Linked DNA regions of Kluyveromyces lactis. The protein of the gene in region 2 binds, or shares a complex with, the protein of the main gene of each other region. Links are inferred from orthologs where the notes say so. Each region holds a gene or a part of one and is shown on either strand. Other genes may lie near its edges.

Evidence for each region.
Region 1: DAD1 (region 2) and SPC19 share a complex: the UniProt entries of both Saccharomyces cerevisiae proteins name them as parts of the DASH complex. The link is inferred for Kluyveromyces lactis from reciprocal best matches to the Saccharomyces cerevisiae genes DAD1 and SPC19.
Region 3: DAD1 (region 2) and HSK3 share a complex: the UniProt entries of both Saccharomyces cerevisiae proteins name them as parts of the DASH complex. The link is inferred for Kluyveromyces lactis from reciprocal best matches to the Saccharomyces cerevisiae genes DAD1 and HSK3.

Annotation. Positions count from the first base shown.
Region 1 is NC_006040.1:1,581,245-1,592,221, forward strand, and holds SPC19 (Spc19p), read left to right. Parts: upstream 1-5,148; coding exon 5,149-5,610; downstream 5,611-10,977. Other genes in the region: CBS2 (Cbs2p), read left to right, coding at 1-611; RKM2 (protein-lysine N-methyltransferase), read right to left, coding at 699-2,084; lipoyl(octanoyl) transferase LIP2, read left to right, coding at 2,330-3,328; KLLA0_D18799g (uncharacterized protein), read right to left, coding at 3,400-4,803; RAV2 (Rav2p), read right to left, coding at 5,645-6,712; ubiquinone biosynthesis protein COQ4, read left to right, coding at 7,090-8,088; PSY2 (Psy2p), read left to right, coding at 8,840-10,977. UniProt on the Saccharomyces cerevisiae protein: Component of the DASH complex that connects microtubules with kinetochores and couples microtubule depolymerisation to chromosome movement; it is involved in retrieving kinetochores to the spindle poles before their re-orientation on the spindle in early mitosis and allows microtubule depolymerization to pull chromosomes apart and resist detachment during anaphase.
Region 2 is NC_006038.1:600,840-611,842, forward strand, and holds DAD1 (Dad1p), read left to right. Parts: upstream 1-9,535; coding exon 9,536-9,823; downstream 9,824-11,003. Other genes in the region: long-chain fatty acid transporter FAT1, read right to left, coding at 1-1,342; FIG1 (Fig1p), read right to left, coding at 1,672-2,565; ATP3 (F1F0 ATP synthase subunit gamma), read right to left, coding at 3,493-4,362; inositol polyphosphate kinase KCS1, read left to right, coding at 5,855-8,539. UniProt on the Saccharomyces cerevisiae protein: Component of the DASH complex that connects microtubules with kinetochores and couples microtubule depolymerisation to chromosome movement; it is involved in retrieving kinetochores to the spindle poles before their re-orientation on the spindle in early mitosis and allows microtubule depolymerization to pull chromosomes apart and resist detachment during anaphase.
Region 3 is NC_006041.1:1,077,453-1,087,663, reverse strand, and holds HSK3 (Hsk3p), read left to right. Parts: upstream 1-5,728; coding exon 5,729-5,923; downstream 5,924-10,211. Other genes in the region: ASC1 (40S ribosomal protein RACK1), read right to left, coding at 335-886; APL2 (Apl2p), read left to right, coding at 1,536-3,638; CMC1 (Cmc1p), read right to left, coding at 3,816-4,127; MRPL31 (mitochondrial 54S ribosomal protein mL60), read left to right, coding at 4,465-4,854; kinetochore-associated Ndc80 complex subunit SPC24, read right to left, coding at 4,932-5,501; cyclin-dependent serine/threonine protein kinase CTK1, read right to left, coding at 6,052-7,419; succinate dehydrogenase cytochrome b subunit SDH3, read right to left, coding at 7,668-8,213; VTC2 (vacuolar transporter chaperone), read right to left, coding at 8,715-10,211. UniProt on the Saccharomyces cerevisiae protein: Component of the DASH complex that connects microtubules with kinetochores and couples microtubule depolymerisation to chromosome movement; it is involved in retrieving kinetochores to the spindle poles before their re-orientation on the spindle in early mitosis and allows microtubule depolymerization to pull chromosomes apart and resist detachment during anaphase.

The DNA.
Region 1 (10,977 bases), on a different chromosome or scaffold from region 2:
CAATTAGCATTACTAAAGTACCTGACAGAATTAAAAATTACACCTATGAGAAAACATTAAAAGAAGAATGGACTGAAACATTTCCTTTAATGCAGCTTTTAGCTAAACTTAAAGAACCGACTAAAAGTCATCATATTTTCCAACCCTCTTTCCACCAGTATGGTGTTTTCATGCTGATTAAGTGCGAAAGGCTCCTCATAGATTCATGTGTTGAGCCGCTTGCAGTATTGTTTGAGAGCCAGAGATACGGTGAGTTACTGAAATCCCCTTTTTTCCAACAGCTAGTCGATGAACTATTAACTGAGCAAATCAATATTTTGAACATCTGTTACCCCTTCCTGCGAAGTACCCCACACTTTGACGCTGTATTCAATAAAGACATACTAAAAAAGGTGATCCACAAACATATTTATGATAGACGATTTATGAGACCACGTATGCTGGAAAATTCAAAGGCCTTGAACAAAACTAACATCAATCAATTAACAGGGTATTTCATTTCTTTAGCTAAATATAAGAAAATTCCTGTTCCTAAGAATGAAATGGTGTTCAACCTTGTTAGAGGTAAAATCCAGTCAACCAAAGATAGAGCATTATTTTGGAGCTTGTAAATAGTAATACCTTAATGACTAAAAATAGCGAGGACAATTTTACCTTGCTAGTTATGAGTATCTTGTTAAGTATGGATATAGCATGCATTACAAAAGACTTCGTAAAATCTCTATATATCCTTCATATAAATTGAGAAGATTTCGTTTGCACCAGTCATCATCCTGTATCTCACTGATTCTATCAATTTTGGACATATATTGGAATTCTAATTCTCGAAGTAATGAATTTATTACGGAAGAAGTTTCTGGCTCGAAGTATTCTTCCGTAATATAGCCCAGAGCGAATCTCTCTGTTTTTCGGTGATCACGGTGAACTAGCAAAGAGACAGCGACCAGAATTCTGTAACTTATCTCCCCTTTAGATATAGTGAAGTCCTTCCAGTATCCGAGATTATCCAAAAATGTAATATCCTTCGGGTCAGTAAACATATTACAAAATTCTGGAGTCAAATCAATGAAATTCCACTCATTGCATAAAGTCGTGAAGCCATATTCAGCCAATAAGAAATCATTCGAATGAGCACCATAGTTGAGAAATAACTCTTCGCCGGCCTTCTCATACTGGTGATTTCCAACCCTAATCGAGAATTCTCCCAACCCGTAGACATTCCTTTTCAATTTATTGATTTCCGGATAACAATGCAGACTCGCCTTATTAGTATGGTTCAAATAATCGACAAAGGGAACCATAGTGAAATAATCTTTGACATCAGTTTTTAATGGAATTTCCATATATAGGCATCTCGAGTTAATCACAAAATAAATGTGTACAAAATGCGAGAACAACTCATCCATGCCAATAGTTGAATGAGTAAATTCTTCGGTCCATTTTTTAAGAAATCCTCGTACAGCATTCCAATCAGCTAGCAAAAGTTGACTAATCCTCTTTTCGTGCTCACTTGACGCCGTTGGAAGACTTTCAAGTAAAATTGATGCATTTTTATCCGAACGGACTAGACTCCATTTTGTAGGAATCGATCTCAATTCGTCGTCGGTAGGAAATATGTCGAAAAACGGTTTCCACCATGACGTTATTGTACCGTTAGACCAATTCGGAAGCAGAATCCATTCTGCAAGAATAAAAAGACATAGTAGCTGAAAAGAATTGAAATCAGTAAGTTCCTCTTGATTGAAAATTCCATAAGCTTTTATTCTGGGATCTTCTTGGCCCTGGTCATCAAACAATTCCGTTGCAGCTTCACCAATTGATATATTATCATTGGTAAAGATATTCTTATTAAATTTTGCTATCCAATGCAACACCGTGTGAAAATTTAACTGATGAGAACTAGGAATGGAAATTAATACTTCATTTTTGGTCAACATACCGTTGCCAAGCCTGATCCCTCGGCCAACTAACGGATCTTCAAATACCTCGATCTTTGGATTAACGTAGCATTTTCCAGACCCATTTAGCCACTCTAGTAATCTAGAAATCTTACCATCTGAAAACTTGGTTTCATCATTTCTCATTGTTGAACCCCGTGATATGATCTATCTACTGAAGCTACGTCATGAAACATGTTTCCTGTATGCTCATCGCTTCATTGTGCTTCATATTCTTAAATTTCAGCGATGTCTTTGTTAAGAGAAAAAAAACAGAACAGTACATTTCTGAATTTCCGCATAAACAAAGGCCCCAATTCAGATAATGACATAGGTGCCTTAACCACCTGCAATTATTCTGCGTTAGCCAGATTCCAGAGAGTACTCTAAGTATGTCTAAATTGATGCTGATAGGTACTAATTACTGGTACCCTTCAAAATTTGGATGTACAATTTTCCGTAAAGTCCGGTTTCAATCCACTCTGAAATGCACATCAACCGCCCGTACGCAACCAATTGATCCTTCAGCTAAAACAATCAGACACTTGCAATTCGTTAAAGAGATCCCATTTGAAACGGGGATCGATATTCAGGAGAAATTTGTACGCGCTCATCTTGACATTAAGCAACTACAATCCAAGATAAAGAGAGAAATGACAAACTTACAAAAAGAACATAATGCCGAGATACAATTGAATTTTCACGAACAAATGATACTAGATAATATCAATCAGATGAAGCCAAATCCAATTGTGCTTACATTTCAATTTGAACCCACTTATACTGGCGGAAAACGTGTTAAGAAACAAATTACGGATGAACAGATCGCCAGATATGAAGGCTTTATTCCATCAAAACAGAAATATAATAAAAAACCCAAATTTGTGCAGGCTGAAAGAGGTGGCCAAGTGACGTTTCATGGTCCAGGGCAAATAGTCGCATACATCATTCTCGATTTAAAGACATTTCAGAACTTGCCGGCCAAATGCTTAGTTTCAACTATTGATAACGCGGCCATGAACGCATTAAAAGTAGTTCCAAAATTCCAAGGATCAGATGAACCATTGAATTTAATTACCCAAAAAACCAATGATACCGGCGTTTGGGTCTCTAATCAAGAAAAAATTGCCAGTATTGGCATACATGTCAGAAGATCTGTCACCTCACATGGTATTTGTATTAACGTTGACCCAGACTTGTCTTATATGAACAGTTTTACCATGTGCGGGCTGTCAGAAAAAAAAGCCACTTCCATAAGAGAACAAGTCCCTGATAGTTCTACCTCTGTTAATGATGTAGCAGTTGCATTCGTGAATCAATTAGCTAAACTTTTGGGCATTACCACAGTAGAGAGAATTCAACTTGATGATTTACCCATTTACACTGATTAGACGCATCACCCGTAGTCTGCAAGAAATGCTTAGATTAATTTTTACTTTAAGAATGATATTTATGATTAGTTTTACTTTGTTGCATATTTAAACACAGCAGCCAAAGCCCCTGCCGAGATAGAACTTAATAAAAGCAAGTTGGTTGTAGTACTGGGTAATTTACTACCTGTTGATACAGCTGGTAATTGTGCAGTACCATCGTCTTTCGTCTTTACCGGTTTTGACTTTGCTTGTTGTAATTGGGTATTTTTAAATATTTCGACCTCAAGACGTGTCTGTAATTCATCAACTTCACTTTTTAGCTGTTTGATCTTAGTATTTTTCAAGTCATTATTTTCCTTTAGGGAGTCATTAAGCTTCTTATTTTCTTGTTTTAATGCCTGTATTTCTTCATTATGGATGGTGGTTAGTTCTGCCTGTTGATTCGCAAGCTTCTGTTTAACGCTTTTCTGAAGTTTGACTAGTTGTGAGTCCGCTTGCTCCATTTTCATCTTTGATAGATATTCAAGCTTTGTAATATAATTAACGATGAAATTGTCAATCGATTTCAACTTTTCATATTCCAACTTTTCAAGTGTTAGATCTGTCACTAAGGTCTTGATGATATTAATCAAATTCGGACTTGTTCCGATAGAATTGTTTATAAATATTCCACTCAATATTTCCGTTTCAGACCCCAATACAGCATCTTCGAGGTCAAGATTATTTACATCTCCGAACATGGCGGCTTCGAACGCAGCTTTTTGAGCAGTTGTTATCGTGACCATTGGGTCTGGAATCCCATTGTTTGCAGGTGTACTCCTGAAATCTCGTTTATTTGATACTAGTAGTTTATCGTTTTCGCCAATCAACGGTATCACTGAAATGTCCTCCACTAATGCACTTATTTTACGATGTTCAAGCTTTGTGTCTATATCCGTCCCTAAATCTATCACATCCCCCACTTTGATTTCAACATCAGTTTGACCGATCCTACTACCATTCACGAAAGTACCATTAGATGATTTCAGATCACGTATACATATTTTACCAGTTTTAGCATCACACGATAACGATGCATGGTTTCTTGAAAGCACTCTAGAATCAAAATTTCCATTATCAGCTTTCACCTGTGGATCAGCTTTGCCGGAAAGTCCTCCGTTACTTCCAGAATTTGAAGCTCCAATGACAGGTCGTCCCAATTTTAGTCCACTGGGCTTGAATGGAACTACTAAGAATTTAGTCTCAAATGTGTTGTTCAACGATTTTAGAACCAAAACATGTGTGTATTTGTTTCTGGCCTGTGTTCTCTCATCTTCAGCGGAAGTCAGTTTATTAAGAGCGTCATTACTTGAATTCAAACAGTTGTCATTCGAAGAACCGTTGCTGCTTGAGTTGGAACGAGCTCTTCTTCCTTTTGTTTTTGATGTGCTTGTGTTATCGTTACTCTGGTTTGCTGAAAGAGGATCCAATCGACTTCCTTGTTTCTCAGTCATATTCACTGCTTATAAGAACCCAATTAAACCATATGCAAAAAAAGGTAGTGCAAAGTGCAAGTTCTTATTCGGCTTCTGATTCACTTCAATGGAGAGACTGCCTCGTAGCAAATACTGCTGAAGCTGCTTTACCACTTCTGTGAAGATAATACTAAAATCATGAAACTGAGAAAAGAATGGACTTAATTTCAATCACAATTATTTTAATTCACCACATAGAAAAGAGGTAAACAAACATTACGCAACATACACATGAAAACACAACACTTCACATAGATCGGCAGGATTGTAATTGGATAACGCACTGTGATAATTTGGCATTGTTATTTGAGCTGATTTGACACAATGGAAGAGGTACTTTCGGAGGGTGTAGATGCTTTAGCAGCATGTGTCGATGACATGGCGAAATGTTTAACCGTATCTAAGGTCACTACAGATAGAAGCACTAAACTTGCTATAAATATGCTACAAACTAAGAGGGTATTCCAGTTGGTATCAGAATATGATGTGCAGAGGGCCAGACTTGATTTGATGGAGGATATAGAACCATTGTTACAAAAACTATATAGTAAACTGGAAAAAGCTCTAACCAAATTGGAAAGGGAGCGGGCCACTCTATCACAAACATTCGAATTGAATAAACTACGATTCAACAATCAAGAAAGTAACCCCATCATAGATAATGTGAAATCGGATCCAGTTGTAATAGTATCCTCGACACATGAAGAATTGGAACGTCTCAAAGACTTAAAGAATCGTAAAGAAGAACTGATACAAAGAATACAGGAATTGCATGAAGAGAGATAAATAAGCATACGCCGACTCTCTATCTATCGCATTGTTAACTTAAATTTTGAATATTTACAAAGTGATTGCTGATTTTGTTTTCAAGCCCGTTCAACTTTGCACTGACACTAATCAATGTAGGATCGCTGGTGGTAATTGAAACTTTCTCGCATTCAGTGACAACTCGCCCGTTAAATGTCACACACCTAGCCAATAGATCGCTTGCTTGCGGAAGAGTGATTCTTTCAGTTGCTGAAAAACTGGATATCAAATTGTTTATCATAGATGTTTGTTCAACTTGCAAGCCTTCTTCCTTAAGGATCTCTGCGATTTTTCCATTTCTGTCTTGCTTCAGCCTGTCTCTGACTTTATCACTGAATGATAACCCAGTTTTCGAATCGATCTCACTCCAGGGTTTTTTAATGACTTTTGTCAAATTCCTAATGTCCAAGCAAATCTCGTTTTTGAATAGCACTAATTCCATATTGACCAAATGATGTGCTGATTCACAAATGTCATGAGATTCAGAGAAGTTGTCGTTTAAGAAGCTGTTGTTATTATGCGGAAAGACCAATTCTCGTGGAGGATTTTGTAATAATGTAATAGATTGTGTAAGTAACTCCAATATTTTCCCAATTTTATTGTGAAAAGTATGAATATCATCAAGTTTCATATCGTGTAATTCGGAAAGTTGCTGTAATTCGTCAAATAAGGACAATACGGATGATAAATTTGTAATTATGGCATTTATTTGAACTAAGGGAAATTGTTTATCAAGGTCCATCTTTAGAACTATTGGTTTACCCCTGCTAAAGTCTGGAAGCTTAATGATAGCCTGAAAATCCACTATAAATCCGGCCTGTCTAGTGATTGTCCCTTTAATCGATGTGCTGTCTGGCGCGGCACCTGATGTGTTAACGGAGACACTATTCCCATTGGTAAGAGGCATTCGAAATTTCTCAGGACTAGATAGTTGGTTTATGCATTTCTCAACATGGTCCATAACGTTAGGTAGCTCAGGCTTTATGATTTCTTTAATCAACCATGTCTGTTGTAACAAAGAGCTCTCCTCATATGTAGGAGCATTTTTATATGCCCCATCATTATATAATTCCGTAGTCATCTCGGATTTATGCAATTGAGAATTAATGTAGCAAAGCTCCCTTAGCGTGTAGATAGCAAGAGCCTTGCTAAGATGGGCGTTTTCCTTTGTCAACCTTTTTACTATTCTTTTGCCTTTTTCGTATGATGATTCTTCTGAATATTTCAAATTTAAACCTTTTCTTGAAGTTGATGCGACTCACCCACATATACTTTAACTAGAGATAAAGGAAGATCATTGAAAATTGTAAAGTGGTTGTAATTGAAATTGCTGGCGTGGATTAGGATCAAGGTTTACACAGATTCTAGATTTGACTCAATTGACGAGTTGTACTCCGGGACACAGCTTTTTATTATTAGGGAAAGTGTGCTATTAAACGCATCAGACGACGACCGCAAATGTTTACTGTAAGTAAGAAATCCTTACAAGCAAGTCGTAACGCTTTCAGTCCATTGAATAATAGCAAGAGAACAATCGTATTTACTGCAATAGCAGCTTTTGGAGACCTATTGATTGGGAAAGATGTTAGACTAGCAGATGCTATGGAGAAAGGGAATCTGCATAATAAAAATGGAGAGTATGAGCATAAGATGGAACAAAGGACTCAAGAAAGGTTAAATGCATTACGAAACACAAGACCGATAGAACCTAATTATGAGGGTCATGTTCCACTTTGGTGGTATGAGCGAATGATGCTCTTCGGTATCAGTGGTTTAAAATCTTATTTCCACCCGGAGAACGGTGAGAACATCGTTCAATTAGGAGAAGCTACTGCTCTACCTTGCTTTCTTGAAAGTTTAAAACGGACAATGTTGTTAGATAAGACTGGTAGAAGGATTCTACAAGACAGACCAAACATCACATCGGAAAGCCTTGACATGGAACGATTGTCAAAGATGGATAAAAATTCAGTTGGCTATACGTACTACAAATGGTTGATGAAAGAGGGGGTCTCTCCAGACACAAGGGCACCAGTTACTTATATCGATGATCCTGTCCATGCTTTCATATTTAAGAGATATAGACAATGCCATGACTTTTATCATGCAATAAATGACCTACCAATCATAATCGAAGGTGAGATTGCAGTTAAAGCATTTGAGGCATCAAACATTGGTGTCCCAATGGCTGCACTTGGTGCTCTATTAGCACCATTGAGATTAAAGAAAGTGCAAAAGGAAAGACTTTACTCCATCTACCTCCCATGGGCAGTCAAAGCAGGGCTGAATTGCAAACCTCTCATCAATGTCTATTGGGAAGAAATCTTGGATAAGGACATAGACGAACTAAGAAGAGAATTAAACGTCACACCACCTCCAGATTTGAGAAAAATTAGAAAGGAAAGAGCGAAACAAAGAAAACAGTTCAAGCTTAAGTATGAGACCTACGAGAAATGAATTTTAAACCCTCAATCCCCAAATCGTGATGGCTGGCGTAAAGTTGCTTTGTAAAGTATAATGCAGGGTCATTCTGTGGATATAGGAACCAGGAAAAAAGAAATAGAAATACGTACGTAATGAAATAAACGTCTTCAATTGAAGAGGAAAAAGATCGCCTTTGCTTGATCGATTAAAAAATATATCTATAGCTAACATCCTTGCTACGTACAGTACCACTGCCTACACTTTTATTTGCTAACGCGGTATGTTAAACAATTATGATCGAACTTCAGTACGATGTCCTCTTTCCCTCGGTGTGCTTTGCAGCCTTAAAACTGTTCTTTTTTCTTATCACTGCGTTTAGCGGCCAAGAAGAAGAAAAAAAAGAACAAAGTTAAAAACTATCCAATTTAAGACTTCTGACCAGGGCATCTCATCTCACCCCATAATAAAAGAGAAGCAGTGTCTTGTGAGGGTTTTAAGCGGAAGGGGAGGATAATCTGATATTGAACATACAAGAATCTGTTACTTCAAAGCTCTTATAGCGCTTGTGTTTAATCCTCTTTGTCCTTTTTTTTTAACTGGAAGAAGTCACTGACGCTTTCGACGAAGTGTAAACATTCAAGTTTTCTTTCGGACTCACTCGGTTGTTAACGCATTGCAACTTTTGCTTACAAGACTTTGAACCTATTTTGTCAGGTCACAATTAGCAGAAAGAGCTTACGAGATCTTGCCATTTATTAGGGCTTCGATCAGCATAATATAAGATATGTCTGAATCTAACAATATGCATGTTTCTGGGGATGGTGCCAAACAGTCGGTATACACTGAGAAGAAACGCGTGAAAGTCTATGTGTTGGAAAATAACGAGTGGAAGGATACTGGGACAGGGTTTTGTCAGGGGACAGTGGAAGAGCGTACTATAGATGACACTCAGACTGCAGAGAAAATGGCGTATCTTTTGGTGGTCGATGAAGACTCCGATGACCAGGTCTTACTTAAGTCCAGGCTCGAACAAAACATCGAATACCAGCGTCAAGAGGAAACTCTTATTGTCTGGAAGGATCTGAATGGTCAGGATATAGCTTTATCCTTTGAAGAAAGCATTGGATGCGATTCTTTATGTGAATATATTTGCTTTGTACAGAAAAACATTGAAAGCCGCATCTCTTTGGTAGCTGTAAGATCGACAGATGATGGAATCGGGTCTGTTCATGAGATAATAACAGGACCGGTCAATCTTCCCTCAAATGTACCAAACCAGACAGAAGAATCCCTTTTAGAAGCATTGAAAATTCTAAACGAAAACACGTCATTTGATTATCTGCGAAATGAGACAATTCAATTTGTTATCAACGATCACTATTTAGCAACACTAATCAGATCATTCTATCAGTCAGAAGAATCTAAACTATATCGAAATTTATTATTATTGAGCAACATTGTGAAAACTCTAATATTGTTCAACAGCAAGGAGATTTTGGAAGAGATGATCAATGATGAAAACTTTTTATGCGTTTGCGGTATATTGGAATATGATACTGAATTTCCAAACTCAAAACTTAACCATAGACAATATTTGAAAGATAAGGAGCCAAATTTCAAGGAAATGATTCCCATCTCAGATCCAACGATCAAATTAATGATTACGCAAAATTTTAGGCTTCAATTTTTGAAAGATGTGGTTCTAGTTAGATTTTTGGATGATCAATCTTTCACCTTCATATCTGACCTAATGTTGTCATACCAGAATTCCATAATAGATTTCCTACAGGAGGATAGCAACAATTTTATTAATCAAGTCATCTCGATGTATAAAGTTGAGGAGGATTCAACCGTCACCCCAGATAAAAGAAGGGACGGTATAAAACTATTACATGAATGCATCCAACTTTCCCAAAACCTAAATTCAATAGAAAAAACCCTTTTCTACAAATTTTTAATCAAGAAAGGGTTGTTCCAAGTCATCCAATTTGCATTCAACATGGAAACTAATAACGATATTCGAATCCTTGCAACGGATATAGTTGTGGGGCTCATTGAACACGATATCCAACTAATCCAAAGTGTGCAAAGTGACGAAGTCACCTTATTGAATGACGAGAATTCAGATATTGATTCTACAGATATGTCTCTTTTACTTATATTGACCAAGATCCTGCTCACTGATAAGAGTCCGGGATTGAAGGAACAGTCCTTCCAAGCACTTGTAAGTTTATTAGATCCTGAAGACTATATTGTAGATGACTATCAAAACCATGATGACAATATCGACACACGAATTGATAACATGCTTCAAATTCAGAATGGCAAAAATCATGATGGATTAGACGGTGAACGAAATCACGAGAAATTTCAGCTAGCTGAGTACTTGCAATGTTTCTATAGACAAGTTGCGCCCTCCCTTTTCCATTGCTTCATCGATGGATCTGTTAATCTCTATGAATGTGATCAACAGTTACTCATAAAACTTGTGAAACTTCTCAATCTCATGATTCAAGGTCATGAGGCATCAATATCTAGACGATTTATTCTCGAGAATGGAATTTTGATCAGGCTTATATCACTTGCTTCAAGCGATTATATCCTTCAATTAAGGCTTGCTGCAGTGCGTTGTTTCAAAAACATCGTATTTTTAAATGACGACTTCTATCTTCGATATCTTATTGGTAAGAATCTCTTCGATCCAATATTTGAAGTTTTTAAGGAAAATTTGAACGAAGATAATATGGCTAATTCTACAATTTTAGATTTCTTAAAGTCGTTAAACACTCAATTAAAAGTGGTTGAGCAGGAAGATATTCCGCTTTCCGGTAGTAAAAGTTCAAGGAATTTCATGCTGTTGAATAAGTACATCTGCGGTAGATATGGTGATATATTACTGAAGGCAGATTACGTTTCTTTCAC
Region 2 (11,003 bases):
TGGTTTCATCATCGGGGTTAACTTTCACCAAACACTGCTGAATTGACAAGACCATACTGACGAAAGGACCATAATTTCTACAGGCACCGATACCAAAATCACCACGTTGTAGAGAAGTGGTCGCAAATGGAGATTCAGTTGAGGCATAAAATTCTCCAATTATCTTAATATTGAACCTTTCTTTAAACTCTTTCCAAATATCCGTTTTCAAACCATTCCCGTATGCAATCTCTACGCGGTGCTGTTTCTCGTAGGAACTCACCGGAGAATTCAATAAGTAACGGCAAACCTCCCCGACATACTGGATATGAGTGGACTCGGTCATACAAACTTGTTTCCAGAATGTAGATGTCGAGAACTTGTTTGAAATGGCAACACAACCACCATGGGCAAAGATTGCACAGACTCCTAACAATGCTGCAGTTGAATGATACAATGGCATTGCTGTAAAGACCGTCTTGCCTTGAGTGACACGCATTATCCTACCAAACAATGAACAACCGATTGTTGATTTTCTCCAAGACATAATTGCTGGTTTAGGAAGGCCAGTGGTACCTGAAGTGTATATTAGCATTGCAGCTTCAAAATCTTTTGCCGATTGAGAGGACCGAATACCGTCGTCCACTCTTAGAGTAGGGTACTTTTCATTGAGTAAAACATTGTTGAATAGCTCGTCTTCATTGATGTAATGCAACTGGGTATGGGGCAATACTTTTCTCAAGTCTTCTTCTGTTTTTTTCATAGGTTCTCGAGCTTGTGGATCAATGAACACTTGGCTAATATTCGAGGTTTGAATGCAATGAATTAAAGGTTGACCTAAAATATTATAATTTAAGAATGCAGGAGTGGCACCAAGGTTCCATAACGCAAACCATAGGAATATAAACAGTGGTTTGTTTGTAAAATTCAATGCCACAAAATCTCCAGGTTTCACCTGATGTACATTAAATAAATAATGCGACAACCTTAAAACGATATTGTAAGTTTCCAGGTAAGTAAATTGTTGCAACTCGAAATCGCCTTTTACAGATAGAGGCTTGGGGTAGCTAATTGCCAAACCTTGAGGAGCCTTCCTTACCTGAGCTTCAAATACGTACCAATATTGGAATCTATTGCTGTACACTGACCAAACATACTTGAAAACGCTCGTAATAAAATATGTGACAATGTGATAATCATCTCTCCATCGGTAGTTTGGATCCAAACGATTCATTATCCCTGCTGGGAACAGCTTCCGTAGTAGAGACGTAACCAGTTTGCATGGGATTAAAATAAACCGTACTATTGTTCGGAATATTAAGAAAAGCAGCTGAGTACTGGCGAAATTGTTGTGATCTGACATTGTCTTCGCTAGTAAAAGCGTGCTAACGACGGTTGAACAGTTCAGTCTATAAAACCTTTACTCAAACGGTAACAATTGCTTCTAAGATTGGTTTGGATACTGTTAAATTGCTTCCCTTTTTTATCCAGTTAGTTTTGTAGATATATGAATTCGAACTTATGAGAATTTATAGAAACTTGGAAATTCATTCAACATACATTTAAATAAAGATATAAAGAAACTGCAAACTTATAATAACGTTGGGACCAGAAACACATCTTTAAAATACGATATAATCATTCGCAAAGTGCATATAATATTAGGAAGTGCAATGGCTGCGTTGGCTTCTATCATACACTGCTTAAAGTTGTATCTGATGCGTATTTATTCGAGAACGGGTTTTTGGTTGACTTAACGTCATCCAGCTTCTCGTCGAGCTTCTTTCTATCTCTAAAGTATACCATCCACATTATCAAGCAGTCTATGAGCATGAATGTAAATGCAGTCCATGACAGAGCCTGTGATTTACTTCCTTTTTCTGCTGTCATTATATTCATCGATGCTCTTGGAATTAGGGATACATTGCAATTTATGGCAACGTGAGTCCATATGGCACCAATAGCCCATAACAAGGTGATCAATGCAGATAAACCCATGATAATAAACTGCACGTAATTTTTAAATGGCAATTTAGGTATGATTGCATATACTGTGATTCCAAACAACAAAATTGTGAAAATGGTAACAACCATCAATAAATAAGGATGCACCAGTTCGTCAGAATTTTGGTGAGCTAACTCCAATATATTTAAATTACTGGACTCTGATTCTTCTGTGGAGTTGGAATTCTTGAAACTGAAAATCTTAATCGTCAAATCGTCAAATATGTCCATGTCATCTACCTTCTTCCTGTTGAAACAAACCTTAGACGATTTGCTCGAGGAGTTTCTGTCATAATTCGATGGGATGTTATTGATACATATCCCCATATACCCTGAAAATATTTGAACGTTTTCTAATCCATCAGTATATTCCTGTGAACTGAACTGATTTGAAATGACTGGATATAGGGGAGATTTATCGTTGAATTGATATTTCACCAAATACGTTGAACTCTGATCGACGTTGTAACAACCCACTAATAAAAATACCAATAAAAATACTGAAATAAAAGAAGTAATTAACACCAGCACCCTAGGAATACGTTTTCCTAGCTTATAGAATAAGGTGAATGGTAGAAACATAATGATTTTGTATTTATCAGTGTTTTGTTGAAGGATGCTAAGTTACACCTAACTGTACTAGAAAGTAAATTGAAACTAAAAGCTCATTGAAAGTTTGCAATATGAATGCATCTGGTTATATACGTTTAATGAACTGAAATAATACTGCATCATATCTGATAATCTTGTTCCAGTATTCAAGTGTTTCAGTGTTTTTTAACAGTGATACAGATATGAAACAGACCTGAATCGACTATGAATGACAGAAGACATGCGCCAATGCAACCTCATAATACATAGGAGAGGCGAAGGGGGATTCGCATTGAATATATCTGTTTTAAAAGAGTCATACAAATATGGTACATACGTAGTGATAATGGCAGTATACAGTAGAAATCTGAGGCCAGACGAGAGTGTTGTTGAATGAAATGCGAAAGTCCGAATATGTAAACTTGACACTCGATCGAACAATTGCCTTCATTGGAAGTGGCTCAAAACAATATGTGCGATATGAGTAGAACCTTGAAAGAGGCCAATATTAGTTTCTTATAATAATTCTTTATCGCCATTTGGAAATGTAAAGGCGTAAACGTCTTCATAGCCCTCTGAGAGAGATATTTAGTGAAATAAATCTCAAAGTAGTTTTTTTAATTGTTGTTAAGTTCTTCAATTCATAATCATAAAATATAGAAATGATGTCTTAGAATGATAATTTAAGGAAACCCAATGATAGTTTAACATTATAATACCAAATAATATATCATTTTCATTGATAGAGGTGGAAAATAGGTGTAAGTTTAGAAAAAAAAAGAGGCAGAAAGGGTGATAAGGAACTGCGATTGTAGAGGGGATGAGGATGCTCTTTCCTCTTCAGTATGAAGGTTCCTGTTTAACTCTTTCCAGCTAATTTAGTGATAAATTAAAAGTATTCTTTTCTTCATATTACGTTTAATCCAAAGAAGAAGCACCAGTAATAATATCAACCAACTCGTTGGTGATAACGGCTTGTCTGGTTCTGTTGTATAAGATGGAGTAACTGTTAATCATGTCACCGGCGTTCTTGGAAGCGTTATCCATAGCGTTTCTTCTAGCAGAGACTTCAGCAGCATAACCTTCAGCCATGGCAGCCAAGATTTCGTTGGATAAAGTGAATTCGAACAAATCTTGAGAAACGTTGTTGTCAGCATCGATTTCGAACTTGGAGAAAGAAGGAGATTGTTCAATGGCAGCAGCGTTGAAGACTGGCTTGTTAGAAGGTTCGAAGGACAAAGAAGAGATAGGGTCGTTCCAGAAGATCGAAACCTTCTTGTAATTGGAAGCACCACCTTCCAAGATCTTGTTAGCAATCAAAGAAGTTTCTTCAAAAGTTGGAGCTTCCTTACCAACACCATTGAAAGCGAACTTGAGGTTGTCAGAGTTGGTTCTTAGCAATTGACCCTTAACCTTGTCACCGATGGCAACAACATCAGCGTTTGGAGTTTGCTTCAATTGAAGTCTAACAGCCTTGGCCAATTGAGAGTGAATAGAACCACACAAACCTTTATCAGAAGTGATGGCAATGATCAAATCTTTCTTTTCAGCATCTTCCAATGGAACAGTTTCTGCGTTCTTGTAGAAAGCAGCATCGGCCAAGGCATACTCCTTAGCACTGTTCTTAGCTCTTTCAGCCTTGGACAATCTGGTAGAAGCAACGATCTTCATGGTCTTGGTGATCTTTTCGATGTTCTTGATAGACTTCAATCTGGTTTCGATTTCTCTCAAGGTTGCATAGTTTCTGGAAGTACCACGTACAACGGATGCAGTGTTTCTCACAAACATTGTTATTCGAATGTATATTTCTTACGTTGGGCTTGCGGGGTTGAACAAAGAGAACAGTTGAAAAGGTAGACTGGTCAACTCAATGCAAATACAATTCAAGTATTCACCGTGTGGAACGTTAATCAAATTATTCAAAATACACACTTGTAATAGTAAAAGAGTTAAAAAACCTCGAAATCGATATGTTTGAAAATTATTTCGAAGATTGGGAATTTCACACCGGGTCGTGAAATTCGAGGTATAAAGGGAGAAAGACGGGGGGCAGAAGCCAGGAGAGAATAGGGTGGGATAGTATAGGTTATTTGTAGCTAGTCTTGAGTAGAATGCTGCGGTTATGGAGTGAGAGAGTCAGCTTATATGGCCAGATATATACTCTAATTGAAGGGGCTCTGTGTATCTTTGAAGATGGAACGCCATTATATGGATCATCATATACGAGTCCAGCAATAAATTTTTGATTTCTGTGAGAATATAGCGGTCTTACCCGGACTTGTTATGTATTCCATGGTATCATTGGCGGAAAGTCACGTGATGTAACGACAGCTAGGGTCAAAAAAATAAAAATTCTCCGCGACGGGGAATTGAACCCCGATCTCGCACGCGACAAGCGCGAATTCTAACCATTAAACTATCGCGGATGTGGTAAAATCCAAAGAAAGCACTCACGGTGGGGGTCGAACCCACAATCTTCTGATTAGAAGTCAGACGCGTTGCCATTACGCCACGCGAGCATATTAATTTGGATGTTTGAAAAAAACATAATTTGATGGTGCATGCAAGGATGCTCACCACATGCTTCCGTTTCCCTTATTATTACAACTCAAAAAGGCATGCCAGGCAGGGGGAAAAAAAAGGAAATTTTGATGGTTATAATAAGGCACAATCTTCAATTTAAAACCATTACACACATGGGTTCAGATCCCCCACATGCAAAGACTGCTCCTCCCCTCTTTTCACCTTGACGCAAACCTTTTATTTATTCTCTCTCATCTCTATATTCTGTCTACATAAAATGAATTTAAACTACCGTTACTGAAAAAGGAAGAGTGTAGCGTGCAGGTGCTGCTGGACGTTATGTCATATCTTGACATTCGCATGTCAGAAATTAGGGCCACCTGCAGTTGAAACATCATTTAGAAATAGTGAACATCAGACATTTAGTATCTGTTCAATTTCTATCTCGATATCTATTCCATGTTCAATTTAATCAGTATTCAGTCTTTCGTTATAATTTTTTTTTTTAAAGCTTCTTGATCTAATATATCAATAAAGAAAAACAATCTTTCAATTCATCTTAATAGATATATCCTCAATCTGGCCCAATTATCGGTTCGCGCTGTTTGCCAGGTGAGCCAAAGAAAGCCAGTACTGTATTCATATTATTCTGTGATTTCATTCTCATCTGCGCTTCTCTTATCTCTTGTAACAGGACTCTTTTTTTTGTTATTATTTTGGTTTTCCAATCCTTTGTTACAGGCTGTTTTATAAACACATGGAGCAAGAGGTTAATGGCCTGCAGCAGCAGCAACAGCAACAGCAACAGATGCAAGTACAACGGCATGGCTCTAATGAAAATGCCGCACAACAGACCACTCTGGTTGCGGCTCACTTGCAGGATTTAAGTATGGACGATAGTTGTAACAAACAACGGCATCCTTCACCCCAAATTAGTGGTCAGAACCAGCAGCTGCAACAGCAGCAGTCTAGTAGGAACAGGAAGAGTTCTGTAATTCATGGTAGAAAAGCAGCTAATTACTTGAGAGTGTTCGATGATAAAGACTCAGATGTCTCGATTCCTGATCAAAGCCTAAGGAAGTATTCTGGTGGTGGCTTAGGCTCCAAATCTAATTCAAACTCAAATGAGACAGAGATCGCGCATGGTCCTAAATCGTTTATGAAGGTCAGCGTAGACCAACGACCTGTTTTGAAAAATACTAAGTCGACAGATTTGACAGATTTACATGAGCTGGAAGATGTGGATGCGACAGAAGGTGTTGCATTAGAACCAAAAACTTCCGCGTCCGCTATCTACTTAACAGATGAAGATCGTCACATTTTATCCAGTTATAAAGATATCTCTATAATTGATGAGAAAGATAAGACAAGTGTCAATCTCTTTGGCCCGGATGTAGTGGTGCCCCCTATTCATATCGGTGCTGCGAGAAATCACAAGGATGAAGAATATCCAAGGAAGTTAACTAATACAGCTTTAGAACAACAACGGCACGATGAACCGCTGAGAATTGAAAATAAGATACCAAGTTTCAATTCTAAGACAATTCCTGATGAAAGTGCTATCGCTGACGATGATGATGACGACGATGTTGAAGAACACGGTGATTTCCCCTTGGCGGTGGAATTGAAACCTTTCACGAACAAAGTTGGAGGGCACACTGCTATCTTTAAATTCAGTGAAAGAGCCGTCTGCAAAGCTTTGGTTAATACAGAAAATAACTGGTACGAAACCATAGAAAAGGAGCATCAAGAACTTCTTCAATTCATGCCAAGATACATCGGTGTATTGAACGTCAGACAGCATTTCCACACGAAGGAAGATTTCTTAGAAGAAATAGTTAACAATACAACCAAGTTCAAAGCGAATAATAATACTAATACCTCTAATGACAACTCGCATATTTCCAGTAATGATCTGAGGAATGAGAGAACACTTAATGACCAATCTAGAAGCTCATGTAATAGATTAGCATCACCTACATTCTTGTCACGAATGGAAGACATCAAAGAAGGGATTTCTACACTACCGGAAGTAGTGCTAGATGACAACAAGCATATTATACCCAATTCACTGTATCAACAATATTCTTCATCCCGGTCGACTTCAAACTCGCCTTCTAGTGCTCCAATAGATTCATTTTTGTCGTCTCGTTCTTTTGACGGAGGAGAGGTTTTTAAGGGTAATTCCAATCAAGGATCTGGATCAACTAGTGTCAACACAAAATTACAAGAATTGGTGGTCAAAGAAGCTTTCATGAGACGGAAACCCTCGGGTGTATGTTATAGTCCTCGTTCTTCACGTACTAGAACAGGATCTTCCTCGTCTCTAAAGGAATGTAAACACTCGAGATCTTCTTCCTCTTCTTCTAATAAGAAATCAAGAGGCCTGGGCAACGAACAATATTTACGGCGTAATTCTATGAAGCGAGCAGCCGTATCGACAAATAACGTATTAGATGTGAATCCTAGCAACTTGGAAGATGACGATATTATGTTTAAGTTGGACGATGATGTTCATGAATCAGATGTCAAATCTCCCGAACAACAACAAGGTGCCTTCAACCATGAATCTGTTTCCGTGGAAGAGACTTCGCATACTATTGTCTCTAAATTCATCTTACTCGAAGACTTAACTCGAAAGCTTAAGTGCCCATCAGTTCTTGATTTGAAAATGGGCACCAGGCAGTATGGAGTTGATGCCAAGAGATCCAAACAGCTGTCACAGCGTGAAAAATGTAAAAAGACTACTTCGAGGAAGCTTGGAGTGAGATTATGTGGGCTAAAGATTTGGGATAAGAAGCATAATTATTACATTACAAGGGATAAGTATTACGGTAGAAAGGTAAGAGTCGGTTGGCAATTTTCTAGAGTGTTAGCAAGATTCTTATACGATGGCGAGTCGAAAAGAAGTATCGTTAAGCAAATTCCTATCTTGATTCAACAATTAGATACTTTATACAGTGAAATCGCGAAGCTGAAATCATACAGATTGTACGGATCATCTTTGCTCTTATTTTACGATGGCGACAACCCTCAGAACAAACGATCTCGGGTGAAGGTAAACATTATAGATTTCGCTAGGTGTGTCACTGATCGTGATATAGAAAAGTCACTAGATCGTTTTAAGATTGCACCTCATTTCCCAAACAGAGAGGATCAGGGATTCCTTCGAGGTATAAAATCCTTGAAGTTCTATCTAGTTCATATTTGGAATTTTTTAACTAACGACGCCGCTATGGTCCAACATGGAGAGCAGCTAACGCAGTTTTTGGAAGATAATATAGACAAATTCAATTCCAACTGGGACTGGCTAGATGAATACGATAAAGAAGATGACGCCGAGGCCTGCAATGCGGAAAGTCCTTTGCGCGTAAAATGGCGGAAATATGAATTGATCTTTGACATTGAGCCCAGATACGCTGATGACGAAGTCAGCGACTAAGGCCAATCATTTGAATAAGAACCAAATTTTTTTACTCTCAATTACAACTACATCCAAACGACATATTCTTGTTAGTGCAATACAGCTTCAGCATAATTTATATATAAGCTTGTACGTAACTACCGTGTAAGTATAATTCGGTTTTTGCTTTGCAGCTAAGGCTAAAAGTCATAGGTTTTAGCATTGTTACCTGGTGGAAAGTTGCGGGCTACACGAGTCGATTGTTGTGGTTTGTATTTGTTTGAACAACGATAGGGTTATATCGATATAATTTTTGAAGATCGGATAACAGAACTTAAATTGTTCAAGACTGATAAGATTTATTCTCCCAGCTTAGAGAGACTAGCCAAGAGTTGAAGATGCCTTGGCCAGCCAAATATACTGGTTGATTTTTACTTGCCCTTTTACGCTAAAGAAACTTTCAAGAACTATGTAATATGGTGAAAGAGTAAGCATTCAATAACTTTTTCCATTTTATATCCGAGAGAACATCGGTAGGGTAAGCTGAATATGATGTGAAAGGGCAGTCAGTCGTATTATATAGCTTGGCGTGAGATGAAGATCGTTTGCTAATCCAGGTTACCAGTATTTCGCTTAAAATTAGTGGTTTCTTACATTTGCTATGTCTTTCAAACGTCTGTATATGTGCCAATGATAATCCTTGCCGGTAACATCTTGATTTCATATTTGAAGGTAAATTGGCAGTGAAGATTCAAATACCGCAGATCGCGATATTCGCCTATTTTAATGTCTAATTGAGCTGCTAAATGTTCCAATTACCTAAGCTTTGGAGCCAGTTGGTTCTCAGCGATACACCAGGTTTCTGTCATCAACGACTTAGTATCTTTATGAGAAGCGGACAGTTTTATTAAAACATTTAGATCATGGAAATACACGAAAAAGGTAAACTGATATGCATTGTATATCGAGGGTCATCGGAAAATAACAGGAGTCCCGATTTGCATACACTGAGGGCCCAACATATAGCAAGCAGCAATGACAGAAGAGGTTCAACAGCTATCGACAGGCGACAAATATTTCATCGAGCAAAGAAGTCTGATATTACAAGAGATCAACGAAAGCATGGATGCCATTTTGAATCAATTAAATGGGTTAAACATTACCCTTGAAAATAGTATAGCAGTCGGGAAGGAATTTGAAAACGTATCACAGATATGGAAACTGTTCTATAATGGGCTTGAGTCTGAAGAACAGAATATGGAGACGGTAGGAGTAGCAGATTCTGAACATATTACGGAGGATGTCAATCCTGAAGGGAAATAGAGAATTGGTTTTATATCAAGAAAGGCACAAATTGAGGAACTTGATAAGCTTTGCAGATAAAACTTACCAGCCAATGAACTACAGCAACGTGTCGCATCATAAGTATTTTTCATCAGTTGTTTGTTCTAGAAGTGTGCTTCTATAGACGGTATATATATGTAGACCGTTTGGTACAGGATAAAAAGAAAGTTAAGAACACGCCACATATTTTTCATCAGTTTCTGCTTAAATTTCGTGCGTCTTCTACTAATCTCTTGATTTGCATCCGAAGCTATACTTGTATTGAAGGGAAATGGGGCAATATGTTTAACACCCTCGAGGAAAACAAGTGCATACTGACAGAAGGGATTGTGGCATTTAGCGTTACTTTTTGCTGGGCAACAACAAGAAGTTGGTTCCTTGGCCCAGTTGGTTAAGGCACCGTGCTAATAACGCGGGGATCAGCGGTTCGATCCCGCTAGGAACCATTCTTTTTTTCAAAAATTCCTCTCTTTCTTAAGTATACAATGTAACGCTGAACCTCTTAATAATACGGAATATCTTCCATCAGTCAGTCGAAGTGAGCAAATGGAATATTATCACCCACAATGGTAATGCTGGTCCCCCTGCCTACGTTATTATCCTATATTCTCTATCTTTAAGTCCAATGCAGCTTGACGCGACTTTTCTCTTTTGAGCAAAAAACAACTTTCTTCAATAGAAAGAGAATCTGCAATTTGATGTTTAAACAGATCAAGTTCTGGAGGAGTAAAACAGATGTTTGGTCTTTAAATAGGCCTTTGGTTCTATTATAGAATATATGATGGGTGCGGAATCACGATCGGTATTTGTGTGATGCAATTTCTGGGGTGGTAAGGACCAGTGCCACACTTGGGTTTGATTTTCCTCTCATCGAGTTTCGTGTGCGCATGTTCGTCTCTCACATCGAGTTATACTCTCATCTTCTATACATTAGAAGGATGCATCAGCAGTTTGATCTGCTGAAAGAGTTCATACACCCAATTATTGTTTAAAGGCCTGGTGTTGGGTAGTATTTCTAACGGATTTTAGAAATGCTATGACAACAATACCTTTAGAATTATATTGTGTGGATATTTACTTCTTGTTAAACAGACTGTGACATATCTCAATGAGAGGGGATTATTCTCGTTTTTGGAGTTATTCTGATGCCTGTTGCTCT
Region 3 (10,211 bases), on a different chromosome or scaffold from region 2:
AAAGCCATGAGATATATCTGGGAATACAGGCCCAAATTGCTCGCTCCATGATATTCAAATGCACAAAACTCAATTCAAAATTTTAATTCACTAATTAAAAAGACATCAGAGATCTTGGTGATAATTAGTATGTCTCATTCGAAACCATGTAAGGTTACGTCTGAAGTAGCAAATATAAGAAACATCATTTGTCATAGTATAGTGAATTGAGCCATGTATTTTGAGAATATATTACGGGGAAACAACTGAGGACCTGAATTCCAAGGTAAATCAATCTAATCGGGAGATAGGCAATGCAATGCAATGCAATAAAAGAAAAAAGTCTGGCACATACTCTAACGATCTTGTCCATACCAGCAGAAACGAAAGTGATTCTACCGTCATCGACTTCACCGTCTTCCAAGTTCTTTGGAGCAACTCTGACCTTGGTAACCCAGTCGGTGTGACCCAACAAGACGTAGGCACAGTCACCGACAGTGTTCCAAACTCTGATGGTCTTATCTCTGGAAGCAGAGATAATCTTAGAAGAGTTAGCATCAATGGCAACGGACAAAACATCACCGGTGTGACCAACAAATCTAGCTTCAGAGTTACCAGTAGCCAAGTTCCACAATCTCAAGGTCTTATCCCAAGAAGCAGAAACGGCGTAGTTACCGTCAGCAGAGACAACAACATCTTGAACGATGTGAGAGTGACCCTTGTAAGATCTAACTGGGACACCGAATTGTTGTTCGTTTTCGGTCAATCTCCAGGAGATCAAAGTCTTATCTCTGGAACCAGAAACCAACAAGTTTGGTTGAGCAGCAGAGGTAGACAAAGAGGTGACCCAGCCGTTGTGACCTTCTAGGGTACCTCTCAAAACAAGCATAATATTGCTGGAAGACATTTCTTTTCAGTTAATTCCTTGAGATGTGTTGTTCTGATGAATCAAAAGAAGAGAATAGATAACAATTTCAATCAACAAGAACTGATAGCTTAATACTAATGCAGTAAACTCTTGCAAGTTATATCAAGTTCTTAATACTTTCTCAATATTCAAGTGATGAGCTTTGGCTAGAAAAGAATTTTTTTTCAATGTGCGTGGTGCGTGCTGAGTGGTACGCTGAATGGTGTAAGGGTGTCGCGCGTATCTTTTGGTCTGGCAACTCTGAGGACTGTGTTTTTATAAAAAGTCGGGTATATCAGTACACCACACTGCGGTGCGTAAGAATTTACGCAGAAGTGTGAATCTCCCTTAGCAATTTCCCTAATCAGGTAGTAACCATTCTTATTAGGAAGTGAGATCTCTCAATACCGTAACCCGGACATCATATGATGTCCGGGTTACGGAATCTTCCGATACACGTGAGCACACACGTGACCTCGCCAGCAAGCTTTCACTTTCCAGTATTCATAGAAAACATCAATCAAATTAACTGGAATCTGTATATAAATAGATGAACCTGTTTATATTCAAGACTCTGTCCCCAAGCGATTAGTCTTCCTTCCTCCAGCCAATTGCTTGCTCTGCTTTCTCATAAATACCAAGGGAAACAATGGGTGTTGATAAGAAGATCAAGAAGTTCTTAAGAGACGCCATACGAGTGGCTCCTAAGATTTCCAATAAAGGTGAATTGTTTGAACTACGAAATGGATTAGTATCTCAGTACCCACAGACCCGAAAGGACGCGATCCGTAAGATTATTCAACAGATGACTTCCGGCAAAGATGTTTCATCTTTGTTTCCCGACGTTTTGAAGAATATAGCCACTCAAGACATTGAACAGAAGAAATTGGTATACCTTTACGTGGCTAATTATGCAGAAACTCATCCGGAGTTATGCATCCTTGTCGTGAACACATTCGTCAGCGATGCAGCTGATCCGAACCCATTGATTAGGTCTATGGCAATCCGTACCATGTCGATGATCAGAGTTGATAAGATCTTGGAATACATTGAGATTCCGCTAAGAAAGACTCTAGTCGATGATAATCCGTACGTGAGAAGAACCGCGGTACTATGCGTTGCAAAATTGTTCCAATTGAACCCGGACCTATGCCGTGAATTGGGCGTATTGAACGATTTGCAAGACGCTTTGTCTGACGATAATCCAATGGTTGTTGCCAACGCGCTTGCCGCACTGCACGAAATTAACGAATTGGACCCTGGTTCAATAGATATCAAGAAATTAGTATCTCAAAACGTTAAGAGGTTTTTGAACGTGTTGAACGAATGTACAGAATGGGCAAGAATCACTATTTTGGAGTCATTGAGCGAACACAAACCAATTGACCCTATGGAGTCTCAAGAAATTATCGATAGAGTTGTTCCACATTTGCAACACGTAAATCCATCAGTGGTCTTGATCAGTGTTAAATGTATACTCATACATCTACCAAATTTGAACACAGTCCATGACTCTATATACAACAAGTTATCAACTGCATTGGTCTCACTAATGTCGACCCCAGTGGAGATCCAATATGTTGCTTTGAGAAATATAAGAATTATTTTGGATGCCTTCCCAAACTTGTTAAGGAAAGAGTTAAGAATATTCTATGTCAAATTTAATGATCCATTGTACGTGAAGATAGAGAAATTAGACATCTTGCTCAGATTAGTGCCCGTGGATAATTTGAAACATTGCCAGATGCTTTTCAACGAATTAAAAGAATATGCAAAGGACTTTGATCATGAATTCGTGACCAAAGCTATCCAATCCATCTCACAATTGGCCATTAAAGTCTCGAACGGAGGTGAAGATACGAATAACAAGTTTTTGAATATGGTCATGGAAGAATTCGTTTCGATTGTCCAGGAGAGAGAAGAGTTTAGGGATATATTGATGAGATGCGTATGCGACATGTTACGTTATGACAGTGACAACAATCTTATCAAGGAAACAAGTAAGAATGAGTTGGGTGCCATAATTTCCTCATGGCAAGATATCGATACCATATTTACATCTGATCTAGGCAGTTGTAACTACATCTGGTTTATCACCAACTATACAAACGAAAATTTGGAAACTAAGCTTGAACCACTGGTAGAAGTTTTCGATGAATTAGGATCCCTAACTCAAATGTCCCTTCTAATGGGTGTAGTGAAATGCCATAATGCAGTCTCAAGTGCTTTCTTACAGAAGATCTTGGAACTTTGTACGACAGACGTCCACGATTTGGACGTTAGAGACATGGCCATGATGTACTGGCGGTGTCTATCGATCGACAACGGTGATCAAATCATCAACCAATTATTTGACAAGCATGAAATTCCTAAATTGCATTCTACCTTGGACCACTTCTCCAAGGAAACATTACAAAGTCTACTTCAAGAGCTCTCCACTCTATCCTCTGTGTATTTCAAACCAATCTCGCAGATGCAACGCCGTCCCAACGAAGTTCACATCATTAAGGATAAGGATATTGATGAATTAAAGGGAATGGCCACGAACGAGATCCTGAAAAACATGAACGATGATGTACTACTTGACATGGGTGATAGCTCTGCCACGAGAAGTACAGGCGTCCTGGACGAACTAAATGATCTTTTCGATATCACTGGTGATATGGGGAAAGTAAACATTTCACAGAAAACCAATAATAACAACAACAACACCTCGAATTCCCATGCAACCGATCTTCTAGACTTAATGTAAACTAGTTTACTCTTTTGAACACCTGTACAAACTATAATTATAATGGGAAACAATGAAGCAGATAAACTTCAATCATGGATGTGCCTTTCTAAAATGTTAATTTATTATGGTGCAGTATCTACTACTATATACAAGTAACCCCAGTGGCATGTCATGTCATGTCATATCATGTCAACTTTATTCCTTTTGTTTCTTGAGAAGATCCTCAAGTCTCTCAATCTTACGTTCCACTATCAAGTCACGTTGACGATCCAGATTAGAATCCTTCTGGTATGATAATATACATTTGCGCATAGCGTCACGAGGTTCGTTACACGCTGGGAAAAGCTTCAATCCATGAATCTTTGAACATTCGACCATGGCCTCCACGTATTCTACACATTGTGCATATGCAAATTTCTTCAAATTCTGACGAGCTTCTTTCTCCTCGGTAGGGTTCAATACCCAAATTGGTAATCTTTGATTATGCTTTCCAACGCCCTCTGACATTTCTAAATGAATAATCTATCTTTGTGGTGCAGTATTCCAGTACTATAAGAACTTCTGACCTATGGTTATGGACACAGCAGCAGCTACAAATGACAATACGCTGGCTGTTCCCCAAAATCGTTTAAATCAGTTGACATTGTTCATTTGCATAATGTTGAGATTTAAAGCTTTTTCATGGATACTTTGAAAAATTTCGAAGGTTTAAAAGATTTAATACCATGAATTACGGTGGGAAATTGGTAAAAGCCAGCCAGTAGCACCGTTATACAAACTGTTTAAGCAGCTCGTTAGGTTCTGTCATACCCGGGTCAATTGAATATCTTTGTTTCATAGAGAAATGTTCGGTGCATTCAGAGCTACACAACCTGCATTAGGTGGATTATTATGGAAAGTCCCATGGCGTATGTCTGGTCCTCAAAAAGCAAGACAAAGAGACCGTTTGAGAAGCGTTGATGATGTTCTTTCAACTCTTAAGTTAGGTCTTCATCTTGAAAGAAACCATATGGCGGTTTCTGAGGGATCTCAGCTGAATCTACGTAAGATTAAACCTCGTGTGAAGAGCTTACGTATTTTAGACAAGGCTCAGTATTTCCCAAAGGAACCGGAGATGTCTGCTACTGATAAGTACAGTGTATTCAACAGGTACTCGAAGGGATATAGAAAGGGTATACATAAAGTTCCCAAATGGACCAAGCTTTCCATCAGAAGAAACCCACGTCATTTCTGATTTGGATGAATCATCATTAAAAACTTCTATTATTACATAGTAAGTAGCCCCTGTACATAGTGAATAAAATCAAGGTATCATAGTTCATCCCAGATGTTGTGAGATGATGATGATGATGATAATGGACGGGCTTCATTCCTTAGATCGAGCAATTGGTCATTATATAGTGCTACGTCAAGGGAATGGAACAACTTCAACTTTAGCACACGTATCTTGTCATCTTTACCGATCGGTTCCTCATCAATCGTGTGGGCAGCATCAGTATCGTCATTGAGTAATTGTTTCTGTGTTTCTACGACCTTTTGAATACCCTCTTGTATCGTATCTCGAAGCTGGTTAATTTCCTGTACCAGTTTATCTATGTCTTGTTGCAATTTCGGTATGTTTAATTCGTCCTCTACGCGTTTCACTTGGCTTGTTTGCTCCTGAAAATTCTTTTTAAGTGCCTGCACTTTAGTTTGCTGTCTTTGCAGCTGTGATTGCAATTGTTTCATGAGCTCATTGTGGTGTGTTTGTTTCTCAGCCATCAATTTCGTGAGCTGTCTCATATTACTCTTGATCTCTTTAATATTAGAGACATCGCTTTCAATGATGAAATTGGACCGGGTTTGCTGTAAAAGCTCTACTGGATCATTGAGCCGTGACATTGGGTGCTGCAATATCCACTGTTGCTCAGTACTGTGCAGTACTGTTTCATATATCACATCTATTTATGATTCAATTCGATGAGATTGTCAATTGTGTTCACTTAAATCAAAACATTGAATCTTTAAAATTGCATCCACTAATAGCAGAGAACCTTTAAAACAGAAGTACCAAAGGATATTGCTCAAGATCTTTACTCGGAAGGTCATCCACGTTACTGATATTTACCATGGACAACAAACAGCGCCAATATGCGAGACTAGCAGCACATTTGAAACAACTTCGTGAGAATCTCGATGAGACAACGGCTCAAGTGGAAATCATGGCAAACCAAAGCAATATGATAACGAAACTGGGAGCCGTCCAAGCCAGCACTTTCATCGGCAGTAACCGTGTATTCGAAGATGAAATGTTAAAGAAATGAGGTATGAGATACATGCCTACGATAAATATCGGTTTGTAACACTATATGTATATATGAACGTATACCTAATATCTATGGATCATGAGAAAATGAGAAAATGAGATCAAAGGAAAACCCCCGCTTCTTCTCTAAACGGTGGTCTCCTTCTGGCGTTCGCGCTCCTTCCTTCTGATCTTTTTCACTTCGTACTCGTGCGAACCTTTGAACTCGGGTCCCAAGAGTAGAGGTTGTGGTTTGGGTTCATTTGTGAAGTAATGATGCTGTAATGCTTCAGTTGTCGTGAATCTTGTATCCTGATCGTATCGTAACAATTTGGATGCCAAATCTAGGGCATCCTGCGGTACTTTGCTGAACTCATCGAAGAATACGTTCTTGTAAGTCTTAGATATTTGTGGTACAAGCATGAACCACCACGGCATATCTAACATCTTGGGCCATTGTTCCAAAGTCGGACTTCCCATGATGCTCAATATTCGCTGGAATTGATCTACTTCGTTAGAACCTGGGAATATGGCAGCCCCTGCAAACAATTCCACTAAGAGACACCCACATCCCCAACAATCCACCTCGTATTTATAGTCTGTTGCCCCTAGAAGTAGTTCGGGAGGCCTGTACCAAAGCGTAATGACTCTGTTGGTATTGGAGGCTGGAGAAGAAACGTCCGTTAGTTTCTTGGCAAGACCGAAATCTGTTATCTTCAAGTTACCTCTGTTATCTATCAATAAATTCGATCCCTTGATGTCTCTGTGTACTATTTGCTGTTGGTGCAAATACTGTAACCCAACGAACAATTGCTTCATCAAGTGCTTAATGTTGGAATCGGAAAACTGGATCGATTTATCCATTAACATCCCTGACAAATCGTTCTCCATGTACTGGAATCCCATAGAAATTGTATTTTTATCCGATACGATAATCTCATGGATCAAACTAATGTTTGGATGGTTCAACTGTTGTAATAGTTTAATTTCACGAATAGAAGTTATTGGAAACCCATCACGCTCTTGCTCCAACCTAAGCCTCTTCAAAGCGATAAGTTTCCCAGTATGTACGTTCTCCGCCTTATAAACTTTCCCATAGGTACCTTCTCCGACTTGTGCCAACGGTTGGAAGCTGGATTTCACATCTTGAAACGATATCAATGCCAAAGGTTTCTTGCCAAAAATATTTCTTGAATGAGAATCTCCAGCGCTTTCTGCACTTGACCCCATAGCCCTGGGGCCCCTAGGTATACTGCCATGACCTTCGAACCTCGATCCACTCGTTTCAGGTCCATTACTGGGCCTGTTGAACTTACCTCTTGGATTTCTTTTCCCCAAAGAACGATTGACGTTAACATTTCCAGCTGTATTATGATGATTATTAGGCCTATTTGGCTGGTACCGCGACTGCGACCCACCGTGGTAACGAGACTCCTGTCTCTTCTTCCTGAAAATCTTGGGCTGACTCATGGATACCCCTGTGTTTGGCCTGTGGTGTGTCCATTTCATCATCATTCCAAACTATAACTGATAAGTTTTCAATGTATTTAAGTATAAAGAGTTTTTAATGTTGAAAAGATGGAATACCTAGTATATTGAGAAGAGAAGAAGAAGAAAGGGAAGTAAGAATATGAAACTACAGCCGCTTGAAGCGGTTCAAAGTTTAGAATAAATAAATAACTGGATCATTGATATAGAGAAGTGTACATACTGAGAAAGGAATGTGTGAGTAAAGCGTCTGTGAGGGAACAGAGAAAATTTTCTTACCATGTTAATAGGTAAGAACCCATGATAGCAGTCAATCCTAGCACAGCGTAACCTGTTCTGTAGACACCTTTCAAGGTCAACTCTTTACCGGTATCCCAGATCAGATGTCTGATACCGTTACCGAAATGGAATGCAAACAAGTATGCGAACCCAGCCTTTGCGGTCAAATCAATCCAGGATGGGATCTTTTCGTTATAAAATTGAACCAAATTCTCTGTGGACATTCCTAGACCGAACACAGTGGAAACACCGAACGCAATAGTTACTGCATAGAACGCTAGACCCAAGAAAACACCGGAAACACGATGCACGGACGATAAATACCATGTCAATTGTGGTTGATAAATGGTCAAATGAGGAGACACTGGTCTAACTTTTCTCTGAGAAACTAGCAACTCGTACTCTTCTTGAGCCGTAGTCTTCTTGGTGACGACATTAGACTGACGACGAATAAAAGAAGCCATCAAACCTCTTGTGTTTGAGGTCATAACTTGGGGTCTTAGACCACTAACAATTCCTGGTTTCAAAACGTTTTTGAACATGGTTTGATAATAACAACTGTATGTATGCCTTTTAACTCCTGCTTTCCTAACAAAATACCAGAAATATTTGCCAGTCGGACTTTTAAGACCTGTCTATGAAGCAGGCAAGAAAGTAAACAGACTTTATTGTCTTGATGAGTATATTCTTTAACTAATTCCCTTATATACTTTTCTAATGGTTGAAACTAAAGTTTCCGGTTTCCCAGTTTCGGTCATTCGGTCCTTTCGGATGATTTCGGAACGAGTCGGGAACCGCTAGTCACGTGCCTTTAATTTGAGAAATATCGTCGATCAAAAAACTAAAAGTTGGTCACGTGCTGATTTTGGCAGCTATGAATACTAGGTATTAGACAAGTGGACATACCATTGGTCTATTATCAAGGCATTAACTACATTAACTTTTATTAGATGGAATGATGTGGAATGATAGTTTACATAGGTGTATAAATTAATAAAAACACTCTCTCGTCTATTGTCTATTGTCTATTTTCAATTTGGGAACTATGGGCCCGCGATTCTACCGATGGTTTCTACGGCGCTAGCGATGAACGCAGGAGTAGCTGGATCATCAGTGTGGCCATTTCTGATTAATTCTCTGAATGCAACGACAAAGTTGATTATTAGCGTAGTAGACACGATGACGGAGACGGCCAAAGGTCCGAATGGTGCGTCAAGGTGTTTCCCACTACGGGCTCTGATGACGTTTATTCTGTTGATGTAGGTTTGGTACGCCCATAGGCCAGTAAATACAGTCAATGCAAAGTAGATGTAAGTTAACCACTCGGCCAAGAATGGCATGTTTGCCTTCTTCACAGAACTCGAGATGGAAAAGGTTAACACACTGAGTAAAGTGGTCACTGAGAGCCATTTGTTGAACGTACGTTCGTTGGCTAGCCATACCTTTGCTTCGACTTTCACAGGACCAGCGTTCTTGATGTAACTTGTTGGTTTCTTGACACCCGGTGGTAATTCAATTTCTTCGTCTTCAGAATCGACACCGGTGAGTTTGCTGTCAGTGGTGTCTCTACCTGTCAAAAGATTGAAAATGTTAGGTTCATGACGATGACGATGTTTCTGTTTTCTTGCATCTGATTTCCCTTTGTTTCTGGCCAAGGTAGCAGAATCTTCATCCTCGGAAGACTCTTCGTCTTCCTCAGGTTCGTCTTCTTCGTTCAAGGCACTTGTCGATGGTGCAGCTGGTGAAGACTGGTCTCCGCCACCGGCTACCACTGACAATCTCTTCATCTTGTCCATCTTGGCGACATGCTCCTGTTGTCTTTCTAATTTCTTCTTCTCTTCCTCGTAGGCCTGGTTTGGATCCTTTCTGATATCGAATTCCAAGTCTGGTAACCAGAATGGTAACATATCCAATTTTTCATCGTCACCGAACAATGAGGCCACACCTTGTACGTATTTGGAGAACTTTGGCACTTCTTTCACCAAATGGGAATTGGCTAAATCAGCGATCCATTTCACTTGGTTACCACCATGGGCTAGAACGCTTAGTGCATTCTCGGATGAGGCAATAGAAGACGCAGATGTCTTCACTTTGATTTCCATAACAGAGTATGGGAACTTAGCGTATTCGCCAGGTCTAACCAATTTCAATGGATGGGCCACGTTAGAATCAATGTCAGATCTGTGCCAGTGATGAGGGTCTCTGATTGGACGGTCCTTGTCAAAGGAATCTTCACGGATGTAAAGGATATCTGAATCGATAGTGATTCTTACACGGTCATCACCTGGAATTTGGAATGCAGTTCTTTGGTATAAAGTTCTTAGAACTGGTTGTAATTCGTTTTCAAGAATGAATTGTTGGATGGAATCGAAATTGTTTTCCAATTTCTTGGTAGTATCGTTGCTTGAGCCGGATTCCTTCAATTTCTTGAGCATCATTTCCTTATATTCGGTATCACCGTTGAAAATAAATCCATTGATGAATTTTGGTTTCAACTTAATCCTTGTTTCATCGAAATCGGTCGAAGAAGAATCCTCGTT